Linked DNA regions of Arabidopsis thaliana. The protein of the gene in region 2 interacts with the protein of the main gene of each other region in a biochemical or structural test. Each region holds a gene or a part of one and is shown on either strand. Other genes may lie near its edges. The genes, in order: JAZ6, AT5G45360 and JAZ11.

Evidence for each region.
Region 1: the proteins of AT5G45360 (region 2) and JAZ6 form a complex in vitro, tested with the Arabidopsis thaliana proteins (one study listed by BioGRID).
Region 3: the proteins of AT5G45360 (region 2) and JAZ11 form a complex in vitro, tested with the Arabidopsis thaliana proteins (one study listed by BioGRID).

What each region holds. Positions count from the first base shown.
Region 1 is NC_003070.9:27,270,363-27,281,427, forward strand, and holds JAZ6 (jasmonate-zim-domain protein 6), read right to left. Parts: upstream 6,201-11,065; 5' UTR 5,775-6,200; coding exon 5,621-5,774; intron 5,306-5,620; coding exon 5,182-5,305; intron 5,030-5,181; coding exon 4,703-5,029; coding exon of another isoform or gene 4,699-4,702; exon of another isoform or gene 4,179-4,698; coding exon 3,974-4,178; 3' UTR 3,606-3,973; downstream 1-3,605. Other genes in the region: EDA25 (CCAAT-binding factor), read right to left, coding at 207-350, 437-520, 620-769, 976-1,068, 1,287-1,358, 1,459-1,539, 1,633-1,701, 1,939-2,014 and 3 more; AT1G72460 (Leucine-rich repeat protein kinase family protein), read left to right, coding at 9,148-10,044, 10,134-11,065. UniProt on the Arabidopsis thaliana protein: Repressor of jasmonate responses.
Region 2 is NC_003076.8:18,381,429-18,392,459, forward strand, and holds AT5G45360 (F-box family protein), read right to left. Parts: upstream 5,444-11,031; 5' UTR 5,243-5,443; coding exon 5,180-5,242; intron 4,863-5,179; coding exon 4,659-4,862; intron 4,577-4,658; coding exon 4,503-4,576; intron 4,390-4,502; coding exon 4,314-4,389; intron 4,164-4,313; coding exon 4,053-4,163; intron 3,969-4,052; coding exon 3,794-3,968; intron 3,711-3,793; coding exon 3,534-3,710; intron 3,426-3,533; coding exon 3,355-3,425; 3' UTR 3,061-3,354; downstream 1-3,060. Other genes in the region: AT5G45350 (proline-rich family protein), read right to left, coding at 672-910, 1,132-1,426; UMAMIT1 (nodulin MtN21 /EamA-like transporter family protein), read left to right, coding at 6,983-7,197, 7,459-7,521, 7,608-7,724, 7,816-8,257, 8,431-8,582, 8,698-8,854; DUR3 (urea-proton symporter DEGRADATION OF UREA 3 (DUR3)), read left to right, coding at 9,909-10,076, 10,454-10,561, 10,697-10,792, 10,891-10,973.
Region 3 is NC_003074.8:15,363,487-15,374,768, reverse strand, and holds JAZ11 (jasmonate-zim-domain protein 11), read right to left. Parts: upstream 7,224-11,282; 5' UTR 7,100-7,223; coding exon 6,993-7,099; intron 6,767-6,992; coding exon 6,682-6,766; intron 6,587-6,681; coding exon 6,484-6,586; intron 6,409-6,483; coding exon 6,351-6,408; intron 5,668-6,350; coding exon 5,571-5,667; intron 5,474-5,570; coding exon 5,341-5,473; intron 5,248-5,340; coding exon 5,190-5,247; intron 5,071-5,189; coding exon 4,995-5,070; 3' UTR 4,612-4,994; downstream 1-4,611. UniProt on the Arabidopsis thaliana protein: Repressor of jasmonate (JA) responses. Targets MYC2, MYC3 and MYC4 that are JA-dependent transcription activators.

The DNA.
Region 1 (11,065 bases), on a different chromosome or scaffold from region 2:
ATGCCAGGGGCAGACATCTTGATGTTTTTGTCACAATATAAGTTGCTTTCACAAGATTATAAATAAATGAATGTACTTATGCCAACATTCATAAACCAATTCCGGGCTCTACCAAATTGTAAGGGTTATTATAACCCATACATAAACTAAGAATAAAATGACGTGATTGGAACATGGAAAAACAGAAGGTTCAAAGTTTAGCTTGCCTTGGAAGAATTCATTGCGGAGGGGAGTAGAAGTTTCGAGTACAATGCACGGTAAAACCTGTCACTAACAATCTTATTCTTGGATGAGATCTTGTCAAGAAGCATCAGTGATTGGACTCCTACATTGAAATTCGCCGAATGTACCTACATATTCAAAATCCCATTTTCTATATCAATTTTCGGTTGTAACTATGAAACTAAACTTCTATAATGAAGCTTTAAATGGTTACCAGTTTGAAAAGCACTGGCGTCTGGGATTCAATTATATCATCAGCCTCGTCAGTGGAAACATATGGAAAAGCTCTGTTAACTCCCTGCACTTACGGAGTACTAAAGCATAAGTTGATCTGTGAAGTCTCAATACTTTAAAATTACATACATCATGTACACCAAAAAAACACATCCAGACTAACCGTCAGTAGAGCTGATAGAATTCTTGAATCCAACTCAATAGGTGAATCAGTTGACACTTCTTGCTTTGTGTCCTTTGGGTTGGATTTTTTCTTATCAGCGGCTCCTTTGTCATCTGCACCTTGTTTCCTATTTGCTTCTGTAGTTAAAACCTACAAGAATGCAAACACACTTCTGTAGTGAATATCCAACTAGTGAAAGATTTCATGTTATGACTTATGACAAACGCCACCCCAAAAGAAAACACTAAGGGGTAGCAGAAGTCTCTGAGATCATGAAAGTAAGGTGGAAGTGGAGGGACTAAATTTTAAGAAGATCATAAGGAAATGTTAAATTTATTGACTTCAATGCCAGTTACCTTAAACAGGGCAAAATATACATCAATTAGACGTTTTGCCACCTTTGGATCCTCTCCTTTGTGGCTCAATCGGATCTGACTCAAAAAGTTAACCTGTGAAATTTACAAAGATTAATGAGCATTGTTTAGAAAGCTAAACATGGATAAGTTTATGCTTCTTTTCTTTTCTAAAGTCTTAGTAAAATTGTTTCCCATTCAAATCAAAGACAATACTTTAGACGACAATAAGCGTGAATCAGTTTAAAAAGAAGAGCAAGAAAATAAAGAAAAATGGTTCTCGTGAACATAATTAGAGAGAACAATGGACATACAGCATGATACTTTGCTCGTAACCCAAGATGGGGTCGGAAGAGAAAGGAGTCAACTTCATCTATAACCACAGCCTGAAAAAAAATAACATTACATGAGCCAAAGAGAAGAATCCAAACAACCAATTAATAAACGAAATACTGAAACTGGCATAGGAAGGTTGAATAGCCGTACCTTCATGTTAGGATGATCAGCCAAAAGATTTGTCAGATGATAATCAGCATTAGATGCACTCTTGTTTTGAGGATCCCCCAACTATAATATAAAGTAATCCATGGAACAATTAAAGGGATCACAACTGAGAAATTTAAATTAGATACAAATATTTGAATGAACAACAAACAATACCTTGTTCACCAATGACACTAGCAATTTCCGCTCTTGTTCTGATTTGCTTGTCAACATGAAATATATTGTCTGAAACCAAACAAGAAAAAATTTACTGAAGGAAAGATCCGAATCACGTTACCAAGCAAAAAAACTCACTGTAGCTAAAAGAAAACTACGGACCATGCCGTTATGCATCATCCAGAGAAGGATTACATTGATGATACTCAAATCTCTAATATTAAAGCTCATCAAGAATCTTACAAAACCTGGAGACCAGTGCTACTAAACAAGCTAGCACGAGCAGAGTGGTGATAGGATATATACCTTTAAAGCCTTGTCCTTCAGCTCTGGAAGCATATCTTTAGATGATTCATCAAGGGCTGTGACGAAGCGCTCATACCTACAAAGTCAGCATGCTAAGCTGTTAAACGAATCATCGACCCAGAACAATTACGGATAGAAGACACAGATCTTTGACATAGTGTGATTAAACACATCCCTCATGGCATGATTTGAGATCTTTACCTCTGTTTCAAGCAATCCTCCCAGTACCAAAACAGCAAAAGCGAGTAACCATCCTTATTTTCCGGAATGATGTTTAAAGGTCGCTGTAAAAGTGACTTCAGCTTGCGATCAGGTAATAACCTGAAGAAAGAATTTAAAAAACCTCAGTCAATGAGAAAAAGATGCAAGACTGACACATAAATCCATAGCTCATTGTGTGAGTAAGAAAAATGTGCCTGATCAAAATTTCTGATAGAGCCTTAAGACCCTTAAATGCAAATCTTTTTCCAACCTTTGAGGTCACCATTCCTGCAATGAACAGAGTAGATAATGTGAACAAGACATCAACAAAATGCTACAGAGGATTTCACCATTGAAAAACAAAACCAGAAACATACCCAATAAGGCATCAAGAGATCTCATATTTGCAATGGGATTCTCTCCAACCATAATCTCAAAGGCAGTGATTTTATCAGCAACTGTCCCAGACTTTTGAGCAGAAATCACCATCTTCATATCTCCACCTTTTCCTTTCGAAGTTGCAAAGTCCTCTGCGTATTGCCACATCAATCTCTCTCCTAATTCTCTCTTCTTCTCCACCACACCCTTAAAATCCTCCTTATTCGCCACCGCCACTTTCCGGCCACCAAACACCTTCTCCTCAAACTCAGCTGCATCGTTGTACCATTCAGAGCTCAATAAACTCGCTTTCACCAATGGTAACTTAGGCAAACTCTTGAATTCATCGAAACGTTTTTTCTTGTACCCAGTACTCTCATCATCAATCGATAAGAATCCAGGCTTTGGCTTCGGTTGTAACGTTTGCTTCACCGGTGCATCTTTGTTTTGCTTCCTCGCTCCAAAATCTTTTCCCTTTTCATTCCCAATGTTCGATTTTGGCTCTCCTTCTTCATCTTCATCCTTGTGTTGCTGATCCTTCTTAGGCTTTTTCCGTTTCTGGGTTTTGGATTTAGCTGGTTTTCGGAAATCAGTGTCGTTGAAACCCGAAGAAGGAAGAGCAGAAGCTAAGCCAATAGAAGAAGCGAATGATGCGATATCAGATGTGAGAAGACTCAAGTCCTGCGATGATTTACTCAAAGGCTTTATCTTTGACATTTTTTCTCAAAGCATATGAAGAGGGTTAAGAGAGTTTTGTGAGAGATGACTGTTTTTAAAAGAACTGAGACAGTTAGGTTTAAGCAATCTCTGTGCTTTGAGATCGAACAATGAAAAAGAAAGATAAACTTCAATGTTTGGGGTTCAACAGAAATTTTTAGGGTTTTAGAAAACGGCAAGAGAGAAGCAGACAGAGGAAATGGTAGAAGGCTAATTTCGTAATTACGGGATAAGACAAGGGCAAAACAGACTTAACGACCTAAAATCAATGAGACGATGTTTTTTCATTAAGGTTGGGTTCCTGAGACGGTCCAGCCCAATCGCTAGAACATTCAATGCAAATCCATAACTGGTGAGATTTCGATCATGTGGTAAAATATTATACTAATATCTTTGATAGAAACATTATATGTATATCTTTGAAACCTATTATAGGTTAATATACTTTTGCCACTTAGAAAAATTACTAACAACGCAAATCCATCACTGGTGAGATTATATCAGGTGATTAAAAAATTTCGATAAAGGGTAATCCAGATGACAATTTTAATTAAAGAATCTAAAAAACAAGTATCAAAATATGTATGTTTTGAAATATAAATACTAGCTACGTAATACAGTACTATAAATAACTTAAATTGGTCAAAAGTAATGGAAGAAAATATAAAAGGGTATTTGGGTTCAAATCCTAAATAAGTGAAAACTAGAAACGTGAACTCGATCGTGCATTTTATACGCCCTAAAGCTTGAGTTCAAGGTTTTTGGAAGATTGTCCTTCTTTCTTGTCCACCTCCATCGGCATATGGTTATGGGCCTTTGGTTTTGGAGGAGTTGCAATGTGTTGCGACGATTGGCCTGACTTTATCGATGGAGCAACCATCTCTGGCTTGGGAGGAAGATGACTACCGTGTTGGTTCACTTGATATGGAGCTCTAGCCACAGCCCTGAAATCAAAACAATTAATCAACATTTAAGACAAAGTAGATATTGAAGTTTTGATTTACAAAGAACTCTTAGTTAGTGTTTTTTAACTAGAAATTTCTCGACATTTTACTAATAATTTTCCTAGATCAAGGACACATAGATGATGGACTCATATCTCTTATATACTACTCTAGGTCCCATCTCGAATTTCATTGTAACTTGTAAGATTTTTTACATGTTCTTTATAAATGATGACACTTGAGTCACATCTCGAAATCTTACTCTAGGAATCATAATTCATAAACATACTAGGACCACCCTATGTTCAATTTCATGAATGTTCAACTTAAACTTGATTGGTAATACGCTTCTAATCCGATGTGGGATTCCTAGAATAACTCGAATAAGTCTTAATATGGTAATTATTAGCTATTTTTACATATAACTTTTTTAAGAAACTTTGATCCTAATCTATGCATACATTTTGACGAGCGGCCTAGAAAAAGCATAACCAAGCACAAAACAGTTTCGGAGTTTAGTTTACCTGTCTTTTCGTTTAGCAAAGAATCGATGAAGAGAAGCTCTTCTTGCAATGCGTTCCACAACCTGATGTTGCTGCCCAGTTTCTTGATCTTCATTGTTCCCGGAACTCGTTGGCTCGTTAAGATCGGGAATCACCACGTTGCTTTTGTCAAGATTCATGTGACTCTGACTGTTCTTAGAATCAACAGCAACATGATTCGCTTCTTTAGCTACTTCCATTATCTCCTTAGCTTTGTCTTCAGGAAACTCGTTGAAAACCATAACTTTTCCTCCAAAGAATATGGTCAACTGTGAATTTCCAGACTCCGGTGCTACTTTTGCCGGTTCACTAAAATCAAATCAAACCCATTTTTACAATTAGTCAAACTCCATAGTCCATACATCTATAACCGGTAGTTCTTTCTCTAATTCAATTGCTACAAAATGTGAAAACAAACACTTTAGGAGTTCGAATACATATGAAGTTTGTGTGTACAGTACCTGAGATCAATATATATGGCTTTGTCTTCGGTAGAAGTAGAGGCCTCACCAATAGAAAACTTCTGAATCAACTTGAACGGTCTAGTTTCTGAGGTCTCTACCTTCTTAATCACATTTTGTTGTCCTAAAACAAATTAGAACAGAAATTGCAAACCGATTAAAATTTATCAAAATCAAATTACATGTTTATTACGTTTTTTAAAAAACTTCACAGAATCTCTAACTTTAATATACTTAAGCTGTCCAAAATAATACCATGCTTAAGTTTAAAGAAAAGAAAAGAAAAAAATGATTTAAAATTTTGCATTTCAACAAAAAAAATATATAGTTAAACTTTATGCTAATAATCAACGAAGCAGGATACTAAAAGTATATGATATAAACTTTGGTCTTTATAGGCGGCGGCCGTCGGAATAGATAGGGAAAAATAAATAAATACCTTTGAGATCGAATTTTCCGGCGAGTTCAAGATCGGATTTTCGAGCCAACCCCATATTAATATTCCCAAAACTTCCCTTCTCCTTCAAGTACCGGCTGAGCAGACTACATCTCTGAGAAAAATTGGACTTCTCCGGCGCTTGTCCCGTTGACATACTAGTGTGATGAAGATTACAACAACCCAAGATTTTCTTGTGTGACTTCTTTACACGTACAAAAAATCGAGGATTCCAAAGAGTATGTAGATGTTTTGAGCTTTTTGCTCATGTGTTGTTGTTATAAATAACCAATTCTAGCCAATAAGTTTCTGTGGCTTTTAACCTCTCCCGAATAAATAAAGAAAACGAAATAACGTGTTCTTTTTTTTTATTTAGTCTGAAGTGACAGTGATGTGTGTCCAATATAGAATGTTTTTGTCACGAGTTTTGTAACTTTTTTTTTTACACCTAACTGATCGATAGACATTTTTTTTTTTTTTTTGAACACAAAACTGATCAATAGACTAAACACACATTTTTCTTATGATGGTTCAAGAAGAAGAAATTCTTTTTATGGTCAAACATATTATAGGCTATTAATTTCCTATATCCTCAAATGTTTTGTCACGAATAGAAATAGGGAAATAAATTATATGCGGAAAAAATGATTTATTCCTATGGTTGATTACAAAAATCAAACTACAATGTTCGTTACAAGTTCCGGCACGTTTTCATTGCACAAGCCGTGAAGAAACTGTTGTAAGTTGACGGCGACATTACATAAAGGCGTTAACCCATTTAATTCATTCGGGTCCCAAGAGTTTCTGTTAAATACTAATTTACCCTTCTGAGGTAATTCGTTTAGTGGTGGTTAGGATATTCGTTATTAAAGGGCGTAAATGAGGGCATTTGCAAACGCTATAGTCTAACGGAGTTCTGACGGAGTTAAGTCTCGCGTCGGCTGCGATGGCTAATACGAATTTAATATGTGGGATCCATTAGCAACAGTACGACTTGTGAGTGGATATTTATCGATGAATGGTGTCAATTACTTATCCCCGACAAAGTTTAAGGACACGTGAAGTATTGTTATGTGCGTTTAGGATGTCAACACGTGTCGGAATCTTGGCGGTACCAACCTTATTTCATGCATGATTTGCGTTTTTTTTCCCTCTTTGCTAAAGGATATTATAGCGTTCATACTTCATAGGCCTAATTTTCTTTTCTGTTTTTAATTACAAAAACTGAGTGTAATTAATATTAGAATTTGTGGTTTTGTATGTTGGTAAAAGGTTAACGATTTCTGTTTAGTCCTAATATGAATTTTGTTACTTGCTCAGTTAAATATTATTTCTATAACAATAATAATAATAAAATCTTTTAATCGTTTTGTTCAATGAAGTCGAGCGTTGAATTTTATTTGAATAAGAGGCAATGCCAAAGAGTACCAAAAAAGAATTTAAAACAAAATGTCGTAGACGATCGCGCCAAGGGAAAAAATCATTTTTATTGAATTATTTATCGCAACTTGCAAAATGAGAACATAATACTTTGAACTTTGAAGACTCTTCAATATCATATGATTTCAAGAGTTGAACAACAACTTGAGTCTAATATATACACATGTATGTGTGTATTTAATTACACAATATAGATCCATTGTCATTTTCTAATACATACAAAAGACCAAATAATATTCGCTATTTCACATGAAGATTATCTACATTGTTGGAAGCGCAAGTTGGGTTTCGATCACATATTTGATCATGTCCAAAATAAGGGAATGTCATATTCTAACAGATTTGATATGCAAAAATCAAGATTGTGAGAAGATTCTACTAAGACTACCAAACCAACGTTAACGGCAAAAAAGAAAAGGCAACGGCGAAACCTTCCGGTCACCACTCGAAGTTGGACTCTCCTTTAAGCAATAGAGTATATCAACATTTATCAAATAAATAGTTGTTGTTTTGAGACCTAAGTTCATATATGGACATAATCAAGATGGTGTCAACAGTTTTGGGTTAGGTGTGCTTCAGACTTAATCTTTGAGCTGGGTAAGATTTCCTTTCTATCTAGTGTTACGAGCTAGCGTGTCTCTGTAACAGGTTGTCTTCGGGTAAGTTTGGTCTTGCAGCTTGAGCTTGTGGTGGGAATTCTCTGTACAGTCGTTATCTTCATAAATAAAATGGTACTTATCAGAAAATAAAATAAAATTAGAAGACAATATTGAAAGATTATACAACTCATTTGCATTGACGTATGACAATACTAAACATAAAATTTGTTTAAAATTTAGGGGTAACGACTACGAATGTAGGTCCGTTTTACAACAATGACTAAAACAAATTGGTTCTTTGACACCGACAGATACTTTGGATGTGAACACCAAAATGTTGCAGCTTCTTCACATGCTCCTCTTGTACTATGACAATAACATATGTGCCTAAAGATTATCGCATATTAATAAGTATCCATTACATGCGGAACAGGAATAACATTTTTTCAACAATTGCATAATTGAAACCGGATAGAAATACAACAAGGACACTAAGTCAAATCATTAGAATACATGTCATGGTCTACAGAAAATTAATAGATTAGACAAATATTTTGTTTAGTTGCATATAATATCATGAGTAATTGAGTATTAGAGTATTTTACTCATGATACATAAGAAACTTATAACTATTCTTTCGATATTCTCATATTTGGAAATAGTTAGGAACTGTAAAAGCTAAAACTGATTGATGATTACATTTGGTGGCGTCAATTTGTTTTACATTTATCAAATTTCTTTCTTTTTTCGGCATAGGGATACATTTTTTGTCATGCTATAGTGAGTAAATTAGAAATCCGACATAACTAAGCATCAGGAGGAAAATCCAAATGATGAAGTGGTCCACTTAAAAGGTCACGTTAGCTAGAACTGAACCAAATGTTGTACGAGTTTTAAGATTATATGCTCTTGGTCCTAATGCCAAAACCATTTGTTTTTCCCATAAAATTTATTTACATGCGTTATCTTGTAGTATGGCAAAATTTGGAGTATCACTTAATAGTTTTCACACGTAACACGTAAAAAATATAGTTTTGATAGTTGGTTTTACAACACTTTTACTTGATAGTTGTTCTTACAACACTTATACTTGTAATTAAGTCACTTCTACGGTTTAAAAATTATTTATAGAAACGATAATCAACTTTGTCCAAGTTTGGGCTTGGAAACTAAAATCAACATTATTCATATGGGCCAACCAAAAATGCATATCTTTAGCTTATTTTTTATTCGCTCTTGCTTTTCTCAATCTTCTTGACTCTTTCAACGAACATTCGCGCCATAAGCTCCTAAGTTCCTCTCATCCAATGGATCACAAATGACAAAGAAAAACAAAAGACAGAGAAAACAGAGACAAAGCGAGAAACAAGACAAGGAATACAGAAAAATTAGTAAATCGAATCACCAAAAAAAAAAAAAAAACTACTTTGATTAATCAAAAAAAAAAAAGAGTTGCTTGAAACTCCCGGCGGCCTAGCTCCGGTTAAGTAAATGGCCGTGGCTTGGCTAATCTGGCCAATCGTGCTATCTCTAACAGCACTTTCTGCGAATTCGATAACCGAATCAGAATCTTTATTGAAATTCAAGAAGTCCTTAAACAACACCAAGTCTCTTGATTCTTGGACACCAGAGTCAGAACCTTGTGGAGCAAGCCAACGATGGATCGGATTACTCTGCAACAAAAACTCTGTCTTTGGCCTCCAGATCGAACAAATGGGTCTATCAGGAAAAGTTGATGTCGCTCCGTTAAAAGACCTACCATCTTTACGCACCATAAGCATAATGAACAACTCTTTCTCTGGTGACATACCCGAGTTTAACAGATTAACCGCTCTGAAGTCGCTTTACATATCAGGAAATCGATTCTCTGGTAACATTCCTTCTGATTATTTCGAAACAATGGTGTCGCTAAAGAAAGCTTGGCTGTCAAACAACCATTTCTCTGGTCTCATTCCTATCTCATTGGCAACTACATTGCCAAATCTCATTGAGTTACGCCTCGAAAATAATCAATTCATCGGGAGTATACCTAATTTCACACAAACGACTTTAGCTATTGTTGATCTATCAAACAACCAACTAACCGGAGAAATACCTCCCGGTTTGTTGAAATTCGACGCGAAGACTTTTGCGGGGAATTCTGGCCTTTGCGGTGCCAAGCTATCCACTCCATGCCCACAACCAAAAAATTCGACTGCATCCATAACGATAGAAGGAACAATGAAAGATGCAAATAAGAGCAAATACTTTCTAGCATTCAGCACATTAGGAGTGCTTCTTATCGTCGTCCTTGTCTCCTTAGCTTTCAGAAAAAAGAAAAAGAAGAGACGGAGGAAGAAGGCACGTCGTACCTCTGAACAAGACAATAGTGACGACCAACAAATTCAGGTTACTTCCACTACACGTAATTTTCACATTTTCAAATGAGAGTTTTTAAACCTATAAAATCACACAAAATTTTGATATGATTGAGACAGGTAACTGTTGAGGGATCAAATAGCTCAAGGCAGAGTAGGAGCAGTCGGTCCGGCGAATTGAATAAAGGAGTGGCGGGGACATCAGACCTAGTTATGGTGAACAAGGAAAAAGGTGTTTTCCGTTTATCAGACTTGATGAAAGCGGCGGCTCACGTGCTTGGTAATCCCGGCGGTGGAAGCAACCGTCCAAGAAGTAGCGGAGGCGTGGGATCTGCCTACAAAGCGGTTCTTTCAAACGGTGTCACGGTAGTGGTGAAACGTGTGACGGTAATGAATCAAGTGAGTGTTGACGTATTCGACAAGGAGATTAGGAAACTAGGAAGCTTGCAACACAAGAACGTATTAACGCCCCTAGCTTACCATTTCCGACAAGACGAGAAATTGCTAGTGTTCGAATTTGTTCCTAATTTGAATTTGCTTCACCGATTACACGGAGACCACGAAGAATTTCAATTAGATTGGCCTTCTCGACTCAAAATCATTCAAGGAATCGCTAGGGGAATGTGGTATCTCCATAGAGAATTAGGGTTTCTAAACCTACCACATGGAAACCTAAAATCAAGCAATATATTTCTTGCGGAAGACGGCGAGCCACTCATCTCCGAATTTGGACTTCAAAAACTAATCAATCCCGACGCTCAATCTCAATCTCTCGTCGCGTTTAAATCTCCAGAAGCGGATCGTGATGGAACCGTCTCTGCGAAATCTGATGTATTTAGTTTCGGAGTCGTGGTACTTGAGATCTTGACCGGAAAATTCCCGTCTCAATACGCTGGTTTGAACAGAGCCGGTGGGGCAAATTTGGTTGAGTGGTTAGGCTCCGCATTGGAACAAGGTGGTTGGATGGATCTGCTTCATCCGATGGTGGTAACCGCCGCCGCTGAAGATAAAATTATGGAGGAGGAAATTGAGAACGTTTTAAGGATCGGTGT
Region 2 (11,031 bases):
AGTCAAGCCGTCTGCATTTCTAACTATGTAAACCAATTGGAACAAAACCCAACTAACAAACTTCCTAAAAAAATGTGTTTTTGTTTACAAGAAGATCGAATTCGGATCATGGAGTTTCATCATCCACCAAAACTTTCCCTCAACTCAGGTCTGGCCATTTATATATTTTTAATAACAAAAACAGAGCATTTCATATGCCACAACACCAAAGCTCACTCAAAATCAAAGCTCTTTTTTCCTTCGTTTATTCTTTTTTTCCTTCTGGCCAAGTGTAAGTAGAGAAGTTGCGATGGACCAACGTAAGTTGATTCAACCCGTTGTAAACTCATCCTAATCTAGCTCTAATTGTATATATTTGTATATAGTATAGAGAATAATTAAGTGATTTGTCTGTTTAAGATAACAATTAATCATAATCATGACTTCTATAAGCTTAAGCAATGTAAAAAACAGTATATACAAAAATCTTAAAACAACACACCGAAACCAGAATCTGTCATTATAAAGCCAACGATAGCTTTAAAGTACACAATAAGATTTGATACTAATTAAGTTTCAATTATTCCAACTCGAACCAGCAATCTAACCGACGAAAGTCAACTTATATAATGTTTAGGGCTTATTTGAAACATTGGTCAGTCCAGACAGATTCACAAAAGGTATTAACTAGATCACTTCCACTTCTTGAACTTGCCTCCTCCAAACATTCCATGCTTCCCATGCTTGAACTTCCCGTGCTTCCCATGCTTGAACTTACCATGACCATGACCATAGCCATAGCCATGACCATGGCCAAAACCGTGACCATATGCAGCATGTCCGTAAGGACCGTGAGAGCTATGAGCTACGTGGTGAGCTCCATAGGCAGCTGCAGCACCTGCAATCATACCCCCAATTCCTCCTGCGTGTCCTGAAACAAGTATAAATAACAGCATGAATAAAGAAACCAAAGTGACATTTAACACCAAATATGATACTAAATCTCAGATTTTAGCAATGAACATACAGACAATCACAAAACAACATATAAACAACTTCTCCTATTTTAACTTGTTTGTACAGTGACCATTACAACACTTAACTGGCAAACTACATGGGAGAAAAAAACCATTAGCAAAAGAAACACAGTACCTGAGTGATGAGCAGGATAGCCAGCAGGAGGGTAACCACCATGACCAGGTGCAGGAGGATAACCTCCATAACCAGGAGCTGGAGGATAACCACCATAACCAGGGGCGGGAGGATAACCACCAGGAGCAGGTGGGTAGGCACCCGGAGGATAACCTGCAGGCGGGTAAGCACCGGGTGGTGGAGGGTAACCTTGTTGTGGGTATCCAGCGGGTGGATAAGCCCCAGGGGGTGGGTATCCAGCGGGAGGATACCCATGAAACCCTTTGTCTTTGTCATTATCATTGTCACCTCCCATGTTTTCTCAATCAGTAACAAAACCTACGAAAAGATACCACAAGAAAACATCAATTTAGGTCACAATTGGACAAACCAAGCATGAACTTCAAGCTCAGGGGATCATGCAGGAACACCAAACTCAAGTAATGAGATAACCAAGCAATGTAATTAATCACTGATTTTGGTCAGAGATCAAATGCAGTTAATCCCAATCATATTGCACAAACCAAACATTAACTTCAAGCTTTCATCAAAGAATCAAGTACACCAGAGTCAAGTAATGAGATAAATCAATCAAACTGCACAAACCAAGCCTGAGTTTCAAACTTTCTTCAGGGAATCGAGCAGACACACCAGATGAGAAATCAGATGAACCAGCAATGTTATCACTCATTGATTAGGTCACAGATCAATCTCCAGTAAACCCAATCAAATTGCATACACCAAGCTTTAAACATCAAGCAGACACAATATAAATGAGATCAATCAATAACACATGACAGGTAAATCAAAGAACTCGAATTTAAGATCCTAAGCATAAGAAAGTTCTATACTTTATCACTCACCTCGAGAGAGCCAAACGAATGTGAACAATTAAAACCCAATTCGCTAAATAAAAAACCTCAATTCATATTTTTGTTTTGTTAAAATCGTAAATATACCCATACACATGGAGCAAAACAAACAAAAAAATCAAAAATTTCTAGGTTTTCAGCAGATCGAATCAAGAGAGAAGACAAGCTTAAAGAACACAGATCAGAAGAGCGAATCGCTGATCAAAAATTAACGATCTAAAAGAAAAAAAGATGAGTTTTTTTTTACCTTAGACGAATCGCGAAATATGTCGAAACGAAATTGGAAGAGAAAAAAATAAGACCTTATAGGTATTTATACATGTTTCTTACGCGGTACGATTTCCAAAAAAGATATATTTTTATTTTTAGTCCTTATATTTTACTATGAATCACAGGCTACACTTACGTTGTCATAATTAACAATGCTATCCAAATTTTCAGCACGAAGGACGACACATGTAACACTACCAATGTTTTGCTTATAGATTGAATATTTTCATGAATTGTTTGTTGTATTTTTTCAAATTTGGAACGGTTTTTAATTTCTCGTGGGGGTGTTTATGAAATATATTAAACTGTGGGGGCAAAGGAGAGAATTATGAGAATATTTTCCAACGTAAATATTTTAGCGTTGCGAGAACGCGCAATGGACGCGTGATTCTGTTTACGTAGGAGATAAGAATGTCTTTTAATTTGCACTTTCGCAAGAGAATCGAATCCAAAAAATTCTTATTAACATTAATTGAATTAGTACATATTTGATTTTAGGCAATGTCACATTGCCAATGTGTATTAATGAATTTATTTAATAATAATTTCATTTTTCTAGTTTTGCTTATGCTTATCTCACTAAATACTAAAATTTTCTAAATCCATTCATACTTTATACTTATCTATAAAATCAAACATTTATTAAGATTATCAATTCATTTTTCATTCAAACACATCAGTGGTGATAATTGATGTATAGTTATTAGAATATATTGCTATAAACTTCATTTTGAACTAATCATCGATTTGTCATCATAATCAGTTCTAACCAGGACAAATTTGTAATATGGTTTAAATGAACAAAGAATGGCTATAAAAATTAATGAGAAAACCAATATCGGGAGCAAATTACTAGTTACCAATAGGTTTACTGATAAAGTTGGAACGTAATTACTAGGTGTAACACTTTTTAAGGACAATGTTAATCACATACAATGATATATATGTATACGTTACAAAGCTGACTGATTAAAACAAGAGCTACATTTGATTCATTTCAACTCCACAGAACCCAGGCAGAATCAGGTCAGAGAGAGAGAGAGAGAGAAGACCTTACAGAAAGTAGGCCTTATGAAATTGGACAAAAGGTCGAGACTTTTGCTCAGCAGAACCTCAGGGTACGTTCCAGTTCCTGCTCATCATCGCAGTTGTAGCCAAGTTCAAAAGCTCGGGCTGCGATGAAAAGAAGACGCAAATAGTTCACTTATGTTGGAAAATAAAAATAATATTTGGAAAAGGAAGTGTGTGAGAGATATGAGAAAGAGATAGATAGATGTGTACCTAATCGGCTTTTATCTGTGAATACTTCAGCTTCTAGTTCAGCTTCTTCCTCATAACACCCATCTGCGTCTGGCTCAGTTTGTACAAGTAAAGTATCAGAACAAACTCCTGAGATAGTACACACCATGAGGTCACCCTCTGGACTCAGTATTACTTCCTTGCAGTTATCATCGCATACTGTTATAAAGACCATAAAAACTATGTAAGTTTAGAGTAAAACACAGTAACAAAGTTACATTTTACAGCATTTCATTACATACCATGAACATTTCCCGTCTCTTTGCATATGAACACGTCGTCAATCTGATGGTATGAACATTTGGTTCCCAAACAAATATGGCCAGTGACAGCCTTATCAGTAAGTCCTTTGCTTTTCTTCCATAGAGAAACTTGTTCAAGTACAGTATTGTCAAGAATTATCCGGTCATCCACCATCTAAAAATTGCAAACAAGAACATGAGAAAATTCTTCACGTGATGATTTGTCCTAAAACATAAACAGATAATTATAAATAGTTACCTGGGACGGAAGAGGTGCTTGGCTTCTCTTTGCTGCTTGCATATGTACGTAATACTCCTTGAAATCCGACGGACAGGTTCTGACAAGTTCAATCATGTCCTGTTCATCACGCTAAAATTCGACAAGAGAAAGGAATCACTTAAAAATATATATGATCTGACTTCTACTAGCAACGCAAACTAACACTGTATATTCTTCAGCAATGTAATACTACTTGGAAACATCTAACAAGTTTATACGAAAAACCAAGGAGAAACTCACATCAATATAAAGCTTCTTCCAAGCAGATTCACGTAACTTTCTACTTGGAAGAGTTAGACCCCACCGGATACAGTACCTGCATATAAACAAAAAACAACCAATAAGATCATCACATCGTTTTTGAATACAAAGTATTGATTTTGAAAACAAGATTATCAACGACAATAAGGGGTACAAGAAGAGGCTTACAGGCGACGCCATAAGGATTCATCAGCCGCAGCAAAATTGAGAAATTTACAAACCAAGGAGCATGATACAAGATCCTGTAATGACATTCAAACAATTTAGTTTAAAAGCAATCCTCAAACATCAATAAAGTTCGAGTTTGAACTATATAGTATATACCTCCGAAGATAAGAACTTGAGAATATGACGAAACAGCTCAGTAGGAACATTGGTGAAAACTCCACTCTCTATTCTCTTTGCATCAGTTTTATCTTTGTTACCATTTTCCTTTTGATCTTCATCCTTCTCTAGAGCCTTTGTTTCGCCTTTCTCAATACGTTGCCGTTTTGCCTCAGGTTCTTTCGTTTCTTCTTTATCCTCTACCTACAAAAACCAAAGCATCAATAAATAATCTAACCTTTCACAGGACAACGCTGAACAAGAGCAAAATCACAATGGACATCAATCGAAGAACATGAACAAAAATTATGTGATTTTTCAAAAATTTCAAATGTATGCATATAAGATCAAATTTACAGATCAAGGAACTGAAGTTATCAAAAATGAAAAAAAAAACTAGGGGAACGGGAAAATCTCGACAGAATTTCAGATTCAGCTACAAAATTCAAAGATTGATGGAGAAGAAATTACTAAACCCTAAATGAAATCGAAAATTTGAATAAACGGAGAAATTTTTATACCGATGAGACTTCTGATTCGAGGAATCGAGCGAAACACTCATCTTCCTCATCGGAAACAGACATACTTTTCAGTCGGTGAAGATCAAAGCTCCGACGACGATGGTTGCGTTTATGCGGCCAAGGAAAGGATTGGAGAGAGACAAGACTCGAGAGGGTTGGCGTTTGGAATCGGTGGCGTGAGATTGGAGACGACCTCGGGCCGAATAATTTTGATAAATGGGCTAATAACCTAAATGGGCCATATATTAATAAATAAGCCCATAACACTAACCCTCCTCCTTGTCGTTAGCGTCATTAATACAAATTAGCTTTCTAAACGTGATTAAATAACAACATTTTTCTGAATTATTATTACGAGTTAACGACGTTCGAACTACTACTATAATTAAATTTTCTTAAAACAGAACATTTGTTATTGGATCAGCAACTACTTTTTAAGGAGTTTTTTCATTTAAGGAAATGTTATATTACTAGATCCACTAATCGACATAAATAAAGGCATATTTTACCAACTTCAGTATTACACTGTAAAAATTAGGCCTGGAAGTTCGGCATAACCCGTTTAAACCGAACCGAACAAACCGACGATTTCGGTTTTCGGTTTCAAACCGATTTTCTGTTGTAAATCGTTCGGTAGAATTTTAAATTGATTTCGGTTTTCGGGTTTTTCGGTTCGGTTCATCAAAACCGATCGGTTTTGTTCGGATTGGGGAGATACCTTTTAAAACAGAAAAATCCTAGATCTATCACTTCATCTTCTTTGTTTTCTAAACTCTCCTCTTCACGAACACCTTTATTTCTCCTCATCTCTAACCCATTTTTATCTTTTAACCTTCTAATTCTTCCTTATTCCTCCTTCTTCTCCTTGTCTTCGTTCTTCTTCTCCACCTTTTAGGTTCGCAGAAATATTCTATTAAGCCACCGCGACATCGATCTTCTCTGGCAATGATTTCATGGTTCTCTACATCTTTTCTCACCACCGCACAATACAAATCTATTTTCTCTGTTTTCAATGTTCTTCTTCTTCATCTCACCCTTGTTTTTCTTTGACGGCCGTCATTTCCAAAAAATAAAACAAAACAAAACCCTAGATGGGTGTGATGGGCTTTTCTTGTCCCTGGAAAAAAAGAATTTGGGTTTTGAAAAGTTAAAAACCGTCATGGGCTTTTTGACTTTACTTGTCCCTCAAAAAAAAAGTTTTGGGTTTTTAAATGTCAAAAGCCGATATGGGCTTTAAAAACAGCCCACTATGCCTAATATTGTGATCTAAACTGATTAGGTTAACCGATTAAAAAAAATTCGGTTTAATTTCGGCGAATTATAAATCCTAGTAACCGAACCGAAAAAACCGAGTACCGAACCGAACCGAACCGAATTTTTGTTCGGTTCAATTCGGCAGAATTTTTGAAAACCGAAAAACCCGGAAAACCGAACAAACCGAACCGTTTAACCCGAGTAAACCGAATTTTTATATTACACCATTTTTTGTGGAAAATTTTCATATTTTTTAAGTAGGATATATGAGCATATTTAACAAATGTGTTAATCTGTTAGGCTTCAATGTGTATAAGATTTAAGAAAATAATCTGGCAAATTTTTTTTTGCCTCAACTTAACAAAAAATCATAGTTAACAAATTGAAGAAGACCAACGACTACAATGACCAGAGAAGTTTTTTTTTTTTTTGGAACGAAAAAACAGAGAAGTTAGAATTACAATTTACAGAGCAAATCAAAGGATCTCAATTTCTTTAGTCAACAGGTGTTCCTTCTCTTCTTCCTCGATTCGGAGGTAGAGAAGAAAAATGGCAGCTCCGGCGATCCTAAACGGCGGCGATGCGACGGAGAGAGAAACACGAATGGCTCACTCTGCAATGACATTGGTTCAGGTCATAAATGGAGGATACCATGTGGTTACGAAAGTAGCTCTTAACGTTGGTGTAAATCAGCTCGTTTTTTGTGTCTTTCGCGATCTTCTTGCTCTCTCCATTCTCGCACCTCTCGCTTTTTTCCGTGAAAGGTCCCTTTTTATCTTCTTCTCAAAATCTCTCTGTTTCTTTATCCTTTTGCTTGAATTGCTAAAGTCTCTGAAGTCTCTGTTTCTGATTGTTTTGATGAGTTTATATGCGGCAAAATCAGACAAATAGTTTGATCTCTCTGGAATTGGAATTAGGGTTGTTTTTCTTTGTTAATTCTGGTTCTATTGTTTAATGATGGATTGCAATTTTGTGTGACTTGGATTTGTCTTTTGATAAAGATTTGCTCTTTTAATTTCTTGTAGAACGATCAGACCTCCTATGAATAGAAGCATCTTCTTTTCACTCTTCTTTCTTGGTTTAGCAGGGTAAAGTAATCAGCTTGTATCTCTTTATCTTTTGAATCATGCTAATGAAAGATTCTAATAACAACATTCAATCTCAATCTTGATAGGATATTTGGGAACCAGTTACTATTTCTTATGGGTTTATCTTACACGAATCCAACTTATGCTGCTGCTATACAACCATCAATCCCTGTCTTTACATTTCTCTTGGCTGTCTTGATGGGGTGAGTATGAGTTTCCTCAACATTACTGTAAAATGTGAAAATTTGTAATATAAAGTTTCAATCTTTTGATGGTCTTCTTCTTTGTATACAGTACAGAAAAAGTGAACTTGTTGAAAGTCGAGGGCCAAACGAAAGTTGGAGGTACTCTTGTTTGTGTTTCGGGTGCTATAGCGATGGCTTTGTTTCGTGGTCCAGCCTTGTTTGGAGGTAAAGATGCAGCAGATTCAGTGAAAAGTGTAATTATTGATAGAAGTCAACCAGAGCTTAATGGGTGGTTAGTCTCTAGTTTTCTTGGTCTTGGGTTTGATCAATGGCACATTGGAGTTTTATGTTTGATTGGAAACTGTATGTGTATGGCTGCTTTTCTCGCTGTCCAAGCACCGGTTTTGAAGAAGTATCCTGCCTACCTTTCGGTTGCTGCGTATTCATACTTCTTCGGTGCATCAATAATGATCACAACAGCTATCTTGTTTGTTAGAGAGCCTAAAGATTGGAGCTTAACACAATCTGAGGTTCTTGCTGTTATATTCGCAGTAAGTTTTCACAACCGAGATGTAATATGTTTATTTGGGTGTGTTTGTGTTTTGGAGCTTGAGCTCAAATCATTTGAACTTGAACTCAAAAAGATTGGAACTCGATTCTGTACATACGGATTCATCTTACTAGTTTGTGTTTAATTGTTTTCTTTTCGGTTTTTATTCCTCAGGGAGTGTTTGCCTCAGCTCTAAACTATGGACTCTTGACTTGGTCCAATAAAATTCTTGGAGCTGCTTTGGTTTCCCTATACAATCCTCTTCAGCCTGCAACATCGGCCTTTTTATCGACAATTTTCCTCGGCAGCCCGATCTATCTTGGAAGGTTTTTAAATTTTATGCACTCTTCTTTGTATCTTTGATTCATCCAGACACATACAAACCTTTCTGTCTTCTTGTATTGGATCATATAAACACCTTGGTTTTTGTTCTCTCCGCAGCGTTTTGGGTGGAATCCTCATCATTTGCGGGCTTTATATGGTTACTTGGGCATCTTACAGAGAGCAACAAACAACATCAGCTGGGAATGAGATTGCTTCTTCTAGTGATGTAAGAATCTCGGAACCTTTCATTTACAGAGATGAGACTGGTAAATAAATAAGAAAAGGTAAAGAAAGGATACTTGTACCGTTGTACGTAGTTAATATCAGACAAAAACTTGACAAATCATACAATTTTTTCGAGTTCAAACATTGATTCTTTAAACGGTAAATAATTCAAAATAATTACTTCGCCTCTTTTTTGGTAATGCAAGTTCAACTATGGAAACAAATCTCTATTTTTATTTTAAGAATTGGTTGTTTCAATACGTTTTTTAGTTGGGTGACAAAGAAGCGTATATTTTAAATTCAATCTTAGATAAAAGGAATCAAGAACACTTAAAAAGTCATTGTACCTAAAGACAAGCACGATTAACAAAAAGGAAAACATTATATATGTCAACGGACATGTTACATACTTACATGTCAGTGTGATATAAGCTGGGAAGAAGACAACAAAAGTTTTAGCAACATATTATCTTGAATTTGTGAAGATAGTGTCTATTCCATAATTCCAACAGAGTGGTATGTCTTTGCGACATACACACATAGACGAGCTCATGAGAATCAAGAATCAATATATATTATCTATATCTAACATATTCCACGCATTTCGAGTAACCAAGATAGATGTTTTAGTAGTTATTGCCAAACTATGTGTGTGCATAAAGTATTAACAAGTAGGTACTGACCTAGTAAAAAAATGAAAGGTATAACTTATAAGTTTCTTACGAGTACTTAGATCACTCATGACATCATTGTCCAAGTGGAAACCATTAATAGCAAATAAACAAAAATCATTGACTTATTGAAGTACGAAATTATTGACTTTCTCCCATTTCATCATCAATAATGGTAACAATTTCTAATTTGTGTGGATAGTATCTTATACGTCATGACAACTCTTGGGAATGGTAATTTAACCATAGAAGAGATTCAATTTCTTTTTCTAAGTTTATTAGATTCCTTTGTTTGCTAAATCAAGATTCTTTCAAGTTGAAGATTCTTTCTAATAGTATATACAAGAGGGAAGAATCTTTCAACTATCACTCCCTACAAATTCCATGAGAAAATTCACTTTTCCAATCAAAACGTAAAGAAGAAGAGGAAGAATGGCTACATGTCCTCCTTTCGATTTCTCGACCAAATATTACGATGGTGACGGCGGATGCCAGAGGCAGAGCAGCTTCTTCGGAGGCACGACGGTGCTCGATCAAGGCGTTGGCTACGCCGTGATTCTTGGTTTTGGTGCTTTCTTTGCCGTCTTCACATCTTTTTTGGTTAGTTTCCGTTTCTGAATTACAAATACTTTCTTATGAAAAGCAAGACGACTTCTATGATTTGCTCGTGACCACAAAAAATAGTAGTCATATGGTTTATGCTAACAAATAAAACAAAGGATGCTAATTTTCATTGTTTAGTAGACGTTGATTATTCTTTTTTGTTTTTTTGTTCTAAAATTTTCATTCTTATTAAAATAGATATTAATCAAATTAATTCATATATCAAGTTTCGATAGAATCTTTTTTGGCCTATTAAGTATGAAAATTGTGGCGACCGTGTGTAAATTTTATAAATCATATTATAAATAATATGTATATTGTCCTAATAAGTCCACCATGATAAATAATATGTATATTGTCCTAAATGAATGAAGGTATGGTTAGAAAAACGATATGTGGGAGCTCGTCATACATCGGAATGGTTCAATACAGCGGGAAGAAACGTTAAGACAGGACTTATTGCAAGTGTCATTGTATCACAGGTAAAACTATAATTCTAATAATTATAATTGATGATATAAAGTTATAAAACACTCCATAATCTTTGACGTATAATTTAACTGTAGAATTTTACTTAAAGTTATTAATTTGATTTATGTTGGTCGATGGGTGAATAGTGGACATGGGCTGCGACCATACTGCAAAGTTCAAACGTAGCATGGCAGTATGGGGTTAGTGGACCGTTTTGGTACGCTAGTGGAGCCACCATACAGGTTAATTCCGAAACATAAACTATACAATATAAATTTTTGTTTCTATAACCTGTATGCATAATTAATGAATAATCGATGATGATTGATGAACAAAGTAGGTGCTGTTGTTTGGTGTGATGGCGATTGAGATAAAAAGAAAGGCTCCTAATGCTCACACGGTCTGCGAAATCGTGAAGGCTCGGTACGTAAAAACCGAACTAACCTCAAACCAACAATTATTTTCATTTGCTTAGTCAAGA
Region 3 (11,282 bases), on a different chromosome or scaffold from region 2:
GAGACCATGATTCCGGTGATGTACGTTATAGTGTATCAAACGATCCTTTGTTGTATTTCTTCAATGCTTCTAAGTTATCAGTAAAGGTTTCAATTGTGTAACTTCGTGCTATCCTCCAAAATAAACGCTCAAGTTCTATATCTTTATTCGTCTTCTTCCAACGATCCAAAATGTGTCTAGCACACATTCGATATTCAGCTTTCGGAAGCTCGATATGAACTGCGTTTAGCAAACCCTGTCACATAAAAACAAACAACATAAAAAACTATAATAAGAAACAAACATGGAAATTATTATATTAAGACGCACCATGTGTTTATCTGAGATGATGGTAATGTCTGCTCCATCTTCAAGTCCCAAATCTTTTTTGAGAAGTTGCACAAACCACAACCAATTAGGATTATCCTCTACCTCAACTACTGCCCAAGCAATAGGAAAGATTCTGTTATCCCCATCTCTACCAACCGCAGCTAACATTTGGCCTTTGATATCCCATTTCATAAACGCAGTATCTAATCCAATAATAGGTCTACATGATTTCCTCCACGAGTTTTTCAAAGCTTCAAAACAAACGTAGAGACGGTAGAATCTTTGCTTGCTTCCGGGTACTGCCCGGGAATTGTCTCAATCTCCATAGTTGAACCTTTATTTTTATTAAGTATCTCTCCTTGATAATCCCATATTCTTGCAAAATGAGTTTCATGACTAGCTTTTCTTTTCTCTGCAAGCAACATCTTTGCTCTCCTACACTGATGGACACTAACAATCATATTGTACTCCCTCTTGATTTCGTCTACCATCTCTTGTGATTTGATTTTGGGATTAACTCTAACTCTTTCCTCAAACAGTTGTGCAATAGCTCCACTCTTCAAAAGCCTAATATAACCTGATCTTACACAAATATGCTCGTTTATGAAAACCTTTACCATCAGCTTGTTTCTACCTTTTTCAAAAGAGCAGTAAACTCTCCATGGGCACTTTTCTTCTATCCAATGTGTGCACTTTGAACCAAGCCTGTTAGATGATGATTTGTACATCTTGATATCATATTTCGTTTTTAGAGAATACCTGAGAAGTGCATACTTGAATTCATCTGCATTATTGAATGTCTTCCCTAATCCTAAAAGTTCTTTAGGACCTAATCCATAAGTGAATGGTCTGCTCTCCTCTATATCAGAATCTGATAATGGATCTGGAATATTTTCATCATCCCGAATATCATCCCCATTATCATTAGAATCACCATTTTCATCTCCACATGCAATGTCTCCAAAATGGTCTTCTAAGTTTTCACAGATCTCTACATCAACATAGTGATTATCCGCTACCTCAAACTCAGCCAAATCAGGTTCTGTCTCTTTATATCCACCCATATCTTCGACAATCACTTCACAAAAATCTTCCTCCACACCTACATTAGCATCAGATTCTATCTCTTCTTCATGCACCCTTCGTTCACCATCAGATTCAACTGTTTCTTCATTTAGTGTCCTATAAAAATAAAAATATCTACATCATAGCCGAACAACCATAGAAACTAATAACATGAACACCGTAAACTAATTGATAAAAGCAAAATAAGGAACGGGTATTGAACTACAATAAAATCAGAAACCACAAGTAAAAGAAACATCAATGGATTTAATATTAGAAACAATTTTGATTCCACCTATCGTTTTGTGCATACCTTCGTATTGGAAGCTTTCGTCTTCTTCCTGTCATGGTTCAGTTTGCAAAATTAAAACTTTCGTTTTGCCAATCGGATTAGGTTTTGATGTTTGATTTAGGGAAGATAAGTTTGGAAAGTAGATTTACAGTTGATTGTTTCGAGTTTAAAGATAAAGCTTTAGGAATTTAGGGTTTTTGATTTGGAGAAGAAGAAGATGAGAATCGACATATTTAACGACATGTTTAATATTTAACGTTGACAATAATGAAGTCTAACTTTGCTACGTCAAAGTATAATTGGGAGTTTATTATGCGTCTGAGGTAATTGGGGAATTAATCTGCGCATTTTGGATATTTTAGGAAATAATTAAGCATTTTCCCCTTTCCTGGCCTAGTTTTATCAATTTTGAAGTCCCACCAACCATTCGAGTAGCAAATCCAGCGGCCGACCATGGAGACGCATGATTCGTCCCCTGAAAAAAAACGAAAACAGAGTCAAAGTTATTAGTTGGCTGACAGCAAAAATTCAAAAACTTTAAAGCGTTTTATGATAAACATACCTTCCATCTGGTATGAAATTGACAATGTCTCTATGATTTTGGCAACGACGAGGGTTTATCCTTTTTTGACAACGACGAGGTCTTTACCGTACAGATGAAGATGTCGACGACGAGGGTTTATGAGTGTGTTTGGTTCTAATGACTTAAGAAAATATGGGGTTTAGTTGATGTCAAGCCCATGAACAATTCGAAATTGAAGATGATATTGGGCTGCTTTTAATGAGGTCCATTTTATTTCATCAAAACAACAGAAGGGTAAAATAGTACTTTACTAAAAGTTGTATTTGAGAGGGAGTTCTATTAGAGAGGAGAGATAAAACTACATATGCCTCCTATCTCTAAAAAAAAATGTCTACTTTTCAAATTATTTTAGCAAAAACTGTCTACTCTCCAACTTATCTTTTTTTTTTATTCTTTTGGTTATATGGGGTGTCAAAATGGGTTACCCAACTCAACTCAACTCATAATCAAATGAGTTTAGGGTTAAATGAGTTATGGGTTAATGGGTTAATTGGGTAAACCATTGAAACCATTAATCATTACAACCCAACTCATTTTATTCATCAAACCAATTGACCCAATAACTCATTTGACCCATCAACTCATTTGAGTCAAAAATTTCAACTCATTAGGGTTCAAAAGTTGCGTTGAGTTGAGTTGATCCATAAATCTTGACCCACTTTGACACCCCTAAATATGAATGTTATTTATCTTGAATTATCTATATATCGGTAGTGATGAAACTAGTATACAAAACTTTCCGAGCAATGATCGTGCTTAATTCCTCTATGAAAATATTTTATAAGAGTGTTGTTTGTAAGCGAATAATAATCGAAGAAAGGACATTATGATTCAAAAATAAAGAATCATGGATGTACTCAGTTATTGTCAATGTATGAATATTTAAATAAATAAATTATGATTATATCATTCTCTGTATTTAAAATTGGGAATCATTGCCGACAAAAAAAAAATTGGGAATCATTCTCTATGGTATATAATAAGCAAATGAATATTTTTTTTAGTTTTTTAATCTTTTTAAACTATTAATTATTTAAATTATATTTTGACCTAGTAAAAAGTATTTATGGGTCCGCCGCATAGGCAGATCCAAAGAGCAAAGATTAAAGAAGGCCAGCTGACCCAACTAAAAATCTACATTTGTGTTATAGCCCTTTAAAATTTATGATATTATTTATATTTCATATGTTTTGACCCTTTTAAAATTACAAATTTGATGTAAACCTTTTAAGTTTTATTATATATTTTCTTCTACTTTGTGTTTTGATACTTTTAGCCTTTTAATGTGATTCACCCATAAATATTGAACCTAATTTGCGGTATATTTTAAACTAATAATATTTTTTAAAACTTGTTAGTTTTTTTTTTTAAATTACTAATTATTTTAAGTTATATTTTGATCTGATATAAAGTATTTATGGGTCTGCCCACGCGACAGACCCAAAAAGATTAAAAGGGGTCAGACGACCCCTCTAAAATTCTATATTTGTATTGTAGACCTTTAAAATTATTTTGTTTTTTCCTTTTTAAAATTACAAATTCATATGTAAACTTAAAGAGATGAGTTTTTTTTTTTTTAGTTTTTGGTTGTTTTTAATTACTTATTATTTTTAAATTATATTTGATGGACCCATAAAAAGTATTTATGGGTCCGCCGCATAGACATCCAAAGACGATTAAAGGAGGTCAGCTGGTTTCCTAAAGTTCAACATTTGCATTATAACCCTTTAAAATTTATGATATTATTTATATTTCTTATATTTTGATCTTCTTAAAATTACAAATTCGTTAGTAAACCTTTTTTTGTTTTTTGTTGCCGTTTGTGAACCCTTTAAATTACAAATTTGTATGTAAAATCCTTAAATACTTTAAAAGATGATCAAAGTTAAAGTTATCCCAAAATTTATTTGCATTGTTTCGTTGAATGATGTGGTAGCATTAGTCTTTGATCTTAGAGATTTGGTCTTGAAAAATGCACATATATAATTTATTACAAGTTTATACGGGATCATTTTGTAGATATATTTATGTAAATATAAAAAAAGTTAGAAAATATTTTTTTATTTTGATGATTTCAGTCGGATGATTGAGTGGTTATGGTAGCGCTACCAAAATATTTCATAATTTTGATGTTTTTATGAGTTATGATGTATAAATCATTTATAATAAATATGTTATGTTTCATCGTTTGTCATAACTTGGGCACATGTTAAATATATGTACTAAAAAATTATGCCGACCTGTTCACTTTTAGTGACCGACCCTAAATTGAAATGACCAAAAACTGGATTGGCTTGGTTTGAAAATTTTGGTTCTGGTAATAATCACATGCCTAACCAGACCTGAAAATTTTGATCTGAGGTCCCTACTAATCTCTCCGGTTAGTATTTGATGATTTCTCTGTATGTTTCTTGGTCGTGATTTGCTTATAAGGACACTAAGTCTTTCATGGTCATTTTTGAGTACTCTTGTGTTCTTATATAGCTCTGAGACCTTATCATACAGCATCAACATACATTGTGAAGAAAAAGAAATCATCTTCCTCAAAGAGGAGGTGCGAGATGATAAACACATCAAATCACAAACATGGAAAACAATTTTGTGTTTTGTCTAAGAAACATAGGCAGATGATTATCGTACAACAACGGAAGGCTTATATATGAGCTGTGTTAATCTTGTCAAAGATAACTGTGATACTGAGTTGCTTCGAAAGTAAGGTTTGAGGTTAGCTTACAGTCTTGGAGCTCATGTCACAATGGGGCTGGTTTCATTTTTGTCTGCTTCCGAAGTCGTAGCAGAGTAAGGCTTCGTGTGGACAAATCTGAAAATAAAGAGGGTCCAAGTTACTATTAGATGAAATCTAATGGTCAAACTCATAGGTGAGTGATGGAGAAAGATGAGAGTATATGTTTATAAAACAAGCACTGCAGATATGCCTACCGATGCCGTCTTTTCTCAAAAAATCTTTGAAGTGAACGTCTCCTAGCAATTGGCACATCTGAGATAAACATGCATCTTACATAAAGCTCATGGGGTTTTCCATACTCGGACTATATAACGTTTACGGTAATCCAATGTAGCAAGTCCTTACCTGCTGTCGATACGCAAGCTACTGTTGATGCGTTTGAGAATGAAATAGCTCTCTTTAATGCTGGATTTATACTGGTCAAATTAATTGTCTCAGTGGCTTTAGCTGCAGCAGCGATATGCAGAATTTCTTGAACCTATTAAGTGTGATCACCAAGAGAACAAGAAATCTCATGCAACTGCTTCCCAACAAAAACGAAATACGAATGTACTCAAAACTTGGATGGACCAAACCTTTTCAGCTGGAATACCATCAAATACGCTAAAACTCCCACCAAAAATAATGGTTAGTTGACTTGGAAGGATCATTGAACCATCTGGCTTCGTGGACCTTCAATAGAAGAAACAAGAGCTAGTTATGAATGATGGAAGATAATAATAATCCACCCAAATTTTAAGACCCTATTGATGCAAAAGGGAGAAGAACAAAATAGTGATTCCACTACAATATTACAGCCGCTTAGGCTATCAACTAACCTCAGTCCCATCAATACATCAGTTCAAACAACCTACTAAATTTAAATCATCTGATGATGTCATCTAACAGTAGATAGAAGGCTATTTTTGCATTCAACGGTACCAAAATCAAACACACAAGCCTAGTTCAAATTCAAGCTCATAAAACCGATACTAAAGAATGGGCAACAACATCTAATGTATTTGTGAGGCATGATCACTAAGAAATACACAATTATCTGGTGGCCATAAGTCAGCCAAATATGATATAGAAGTAGAATAATACATGAGAATAAAAGCTTAAACACTTGTAAGAAAAAAAACTAAAAGACTATCTCAGTTTCCGAAACCAGTCAATGTATACAAATTAACATTCACATAGATCCAGTCTCTTCATTTGCTTAAGCTTCAACAACCTACCTACACATGAAAATTCCTAAATGCAAGAACAATATTTGACGTCACAAACTAATACATACTAACAAATCAGATTCATACACACTAACACTTCCAGAACTATCAATATGTTAATAAAGCAAACACTGAATATCTAACTACCTGTCCCGTCTCTTCTCGAGAAATCTTTGAAGCGAACGTCTCCTAGCAATTGGAAGATCTGAGACAAACAGGGATTAATAGTCCGTAACTCCGTAGATAATGCTTACAGTAACCGAATGAAGCAATTGCTTACCAGCTACAGTTGAGAAAGAAAGAGCTCTGTTCAGTGCTGGATTGATACCGGTCACATTCTTCGTCTGTTTACCAGCAAAAGCGATGCGAATGATTTCTTGAACCTATTAAGCATTGATCACCAATACAATTAGAAACTCTGATGCAACCAACATAAACAAAATCAGAATGTATGTACTCAAAGCTAGATGGACCAAACCTTTTGTGCAGGGACACCATTGAAGACTCTACAACTCCCACCAAAGATAATAGTAAGTTGAGTTGAAGCATCTGGCTCTGTGGACCTTGAAACAAGAGTTTGAAATTAAACCTCTTGAGTTTCCCAAATTGATCTGCTAATTTAACAATTCATATAGATCCAAGTCTCGTCAATTGCTCACGCTCCTATAGTGTACTAAGAACTAACAAATCACAGAACTATAGGCTAAGAAAAAACTTCAAACACAAAGACAGATAAAGAGAAATGAGAATTAACGATTCAAATTGATTCCAGTTACTAGTGATACATACCTAGCTTCGTGAATCGATCTCTCAACGAGCAAGTCAAGTCCGGCGGAAACAGAACCGGTCCCGTCGGCGAAACTAGGAACGGGGAAATCTCCGTTTACCTCAGCCATGAGCCTCTCTGTGAATAATATCTGTCTTCTCCGTTTGATTGGGAATTGGTTCTCTTCTCTACGCAACGTTCGTTATTCGGTGTATTCATTATTCAATCAATTTTGTTTTCTTTTTGTTTTTCTCAGAAATATTCCAAAAAAACCTCAACTATTTGATTATTTTATATATCTAACTACTTATCTAATAAGTAATAATGCCTTACCAAAAAAAAAAACTACTTATCTAATAATACCTATTTATTTTCATTTGTTCTTGTAATATAGACAACTATTTAAAAAAATAAAATAGTGGACAATTTTGTTCGATGTGAAAAACTTAATACTCTTTACGCATCCTTTTTAGTACATGCATACCGCCGTTATCGTATTGCTAAAATAAATTAAATAAGATATATTAACACAAAGCTAACTATATAATTATGATGAAAAAATCAAAATATGTAAATTAGTCGAAGAACATTGAATCATTTTGATATTGAGGAACCAAAAATTAGAAAGAAATAAGCAAAAAAAAAAGAAATAGAGAAACGATTTGGTTTTTAAAGTTTGAAAATCTAAAAAGTAAAAATATATGAAAAGAGAATTAAAAATGAGACACTCATATCATTTTTCTATGATAATTTCCAAAAAGGCAAAAACGTATAAACTAAAAAAATACAAAGTAAATAAGAAATTTCTTTTCGTTTCAAAAAAAAAAGAATTAATTTTTTAAGGATAAAACTATAATTTGTTTTTAGAGCGTATGTATAATCTGCCAATATTTCTAGTTTGGGTTTTATTTGTCACTAATAAATTAGTTTGAGTTTTTTGACAACCGAAAAAGTTGAGGTTTTTTTGGCAAATTTTAATAGTTGAAGTTTTTTTTGGGAATTTTCTCTTCTATTTAAAACTCTATGTCGTAAAAGGTACAACAGTGGAAGCTTCCACTTCACCAACAATTCAGCTTATAAGCGGAGACCCAACTTAAAAAGTCCAATCCATAAAGATACCCCTTTAAGGAACTAAGAAATATAACAAATCCAACACAAAACCATGTGTGAGCCTATGAAGTAAAGTTGAAGTAGATGTTGTCGCCGTTCGCCGCTCATAGCCGATATGGTACGAAGCGTAAGGGAACTCCAAAACTACCGAAAACCGTCAGAGCTTCAAGAAATAAGTCCACAGGTTTTTAACTAGAGAATCCTACCAACTACATCATCAAATCTGTAAAGAAAAGATCTTCACAAGGGCAATGACTCCCGAACTCCAAAGAACATCAACGTAGATATTAAGCCGATGGAGCTTTTCAGCAACACCTAAAAACAAAAAGGAAAACACTCGTGTCCATAGATCAATTAGACAAATAGCCTCAATTGTAGATCATTCGCCATCTGAGATCGATTCCAGTGAGAAAAATCATCATTGATTATAAAAGCAAGCTTGATTCTTCTAGGTTTCATTGTTCATAAACCAATCGAACATCAAAATAGAGATTTACAGCTAAAAGCAATATTAGTGTGCAATGAAATTGTTTTCTTTTCTGCAACTTAAGATGTAACTCTTTGGATTGATTCCTGCAAATCGCAAACTCAAAAGATCAAATTGGATAATAAACACCTTTAAGCAAAAAAACACCTAAATTTCCAATAGAGGATCTATGAGATTATTGAAAGAAAAAAAAAAAAAAAAACATCAGATACACTGATAAGAAAAGTAGATCCGGCCAACGATGGTCATGGAATTCGAACGCTGTCAGGCAAGAGCCAGCCATCACTGCTAAAAACGACAGAGATGTTAGATATAAAACCCAACTATATTAAAACACATAAACGTCGGAATGCCATCAGGCCAGCGAAACAAAAGAGAAAACTTTCCCTTTTCTCTAAGATTTTTTAGAGAGAGAAGAGAGAGAAAGCTCGAAAACAATCTATTTCTTTCTCATTTTGTTCTTTTTTGTTTGTTTAAATGTGTAACTTAAGAAAAAAGAATAAAACAAAAAAAGGCATCAAGAATTTAAAACGTGCGTGAAAATAATACGTCGTCGCTTTGAGACTTTCCTTTTGAGAAACATAGAGCTGTTGTTAGTACTTGAGATACTCGGTAACATCAGTAGGTAACATGCATTTGCCCACCCAATCTTTTCTTTTTTTTTAGGTTTAAATTTCCATTAAAGATAAAAGCAAGTTACAAAACAAAGAGTCCAAAAAAAGGCACGCAAGCCCGAAAAATATACACGGCAAGAAGCCCAAATCCAAGTCACGCAGGCCCGAAACTAAACTTGAATGGCCCAACAAGACCCAAACAGCCCAAAAAGAAGAACAGAGAACGAAGGAACTGCCCTTAGCTGAAGAAACGAAACCAAGTAGAGAGCAGAGAGGATCCTGGAGAATCAAATTCACTACGCCGAGAAATGGGATCAAGCTTTGACCATAGAATAACCTTAAGTTCCTCGATGATCAAAGCAGAGGTACGGGGAGCATGAGAATGGATCTGACGATTGCGTTCTTTCCATAAGAGATAAATAGAGGCTTGGAACACTAGCTTGATGATGAGACAGAGATAAGCATCACACGAAGCCGAATTAATCCATAAGAGGCAGGCCATGAAGGGGACCGGAGGAGATAATCTTGTTCTATTCCTGAAGTGACTCCAGACCGCCAGACTAAAGTCACACTCAAAGAAGAGGTGATCTCTAGACTCCGAACTTCCAGAGCAAAGGACACAATCCGTGGGAATAGAAATTCCCCAACTCCGCATTCGGTCCCTAGTGTGAAGCCCTGTTCCAAGCCACAACCCAATTGATGAACGCATGATTTGGAATATAGTCCTTAAACCATATAGATTTATGCCACAGAACCGGACAGGTAGATGGGTGCAAAGCGAGCCAAGTTAGAGTAGAGGAGAACAATGGTGTGGGTGGATGATGCTCGAGCTTCCAAAGATAGACATCATCCACTTCACAATCAATGATATCAATCCAATATGGCAGGGCGTTTTTGATCGTCGAAATGATGGGATTACGACTTCGAGAAGTCATGATCTTCCATCCATTGCAAGATGTTGCGTCTCTAACAACCGCTTTTTTGTTCAACCCGATAACTTGAGGTCCTAATGGACCCGAGAGATCAATCAGCGGCCACAACCCCATCCAGTTATCATGCCAAAAACTTGTTGTAATTCCTTAACCCACCTCACACACCAAAAAAGGTCTCGCCAGGTTACAAAGTTTGCACAAACGTTTTCAAATCCAACTCCCTGAGTAGTAAGGATTCAGATCCCAAAAATTCCGGTTACCAATAAGATTAATCCTCATCCAAGAAACCCAAAGAGAACTAGCCTTAGTGAAAAACAACCAGATAAGTTTCAAAACGAAAACCGTATTCCAAGAGATCAACCTTTTCAACCCAAAGCCATCACTTTGCTTAGGCGTACATACTACGTTCCAAGTGATCTTTGCACCTCTAGCGTAGGTAGGCAGACCTTTCCAAAGAAAGGCATTACACATCTGCTCAATCTTTTGGAGACATTGGTTTGGAAGGAGGAAAACTGACACCAAGAAGTTGATGGTAGCAAAGATCACAGATTTCAGCAACCGAAGCCGACCAGCAAAGGAGAGATGTCTGACAGTCCAAGAGGAGAACTTTTTATTAATTCTGTCAAGAAGAGGTTGATAATCTTGTTTTTTCATCTTCTAGATCATTAGGGGAATCCCCAGATAACGAACCGGAAGAACACCCTGAGAAACACCAAAACGCTCAGAGATAGTGGCCACATTATGCAAGTCACCACCATCCAAGCCGTTTTTTGCCTGTTTATTCCAAGACGAGAACCAATTCTGAACTCATCAAGAATGGATATGATCCCAGCAACAGAATCCTTAGAACCGTCAAAGAAGACTAACACATCATCGGCAAAGCTGAGATGAGTAATGAGAGGGGCTGAACACTAAGGGTGAAGCATGAAACGGCCTTCAACTGCGCCCTTATCCAGTGAATTTGCTAGAATATTCATGATATGCACAAATATATGAGAAGACATGGGATCTCCTTGTCTGATTTCTTTTTTACCCTGAAAAAACCCAATCAACTCACCATTAAAAGCAATACTATATAAGGAGTAGATATGCAAACCCGGATCAAGTTTATAAAAATAGGAGGAAGATCCAAAGCCACAAGGATGTTGATTAGAAACTCCCTGCTGACAT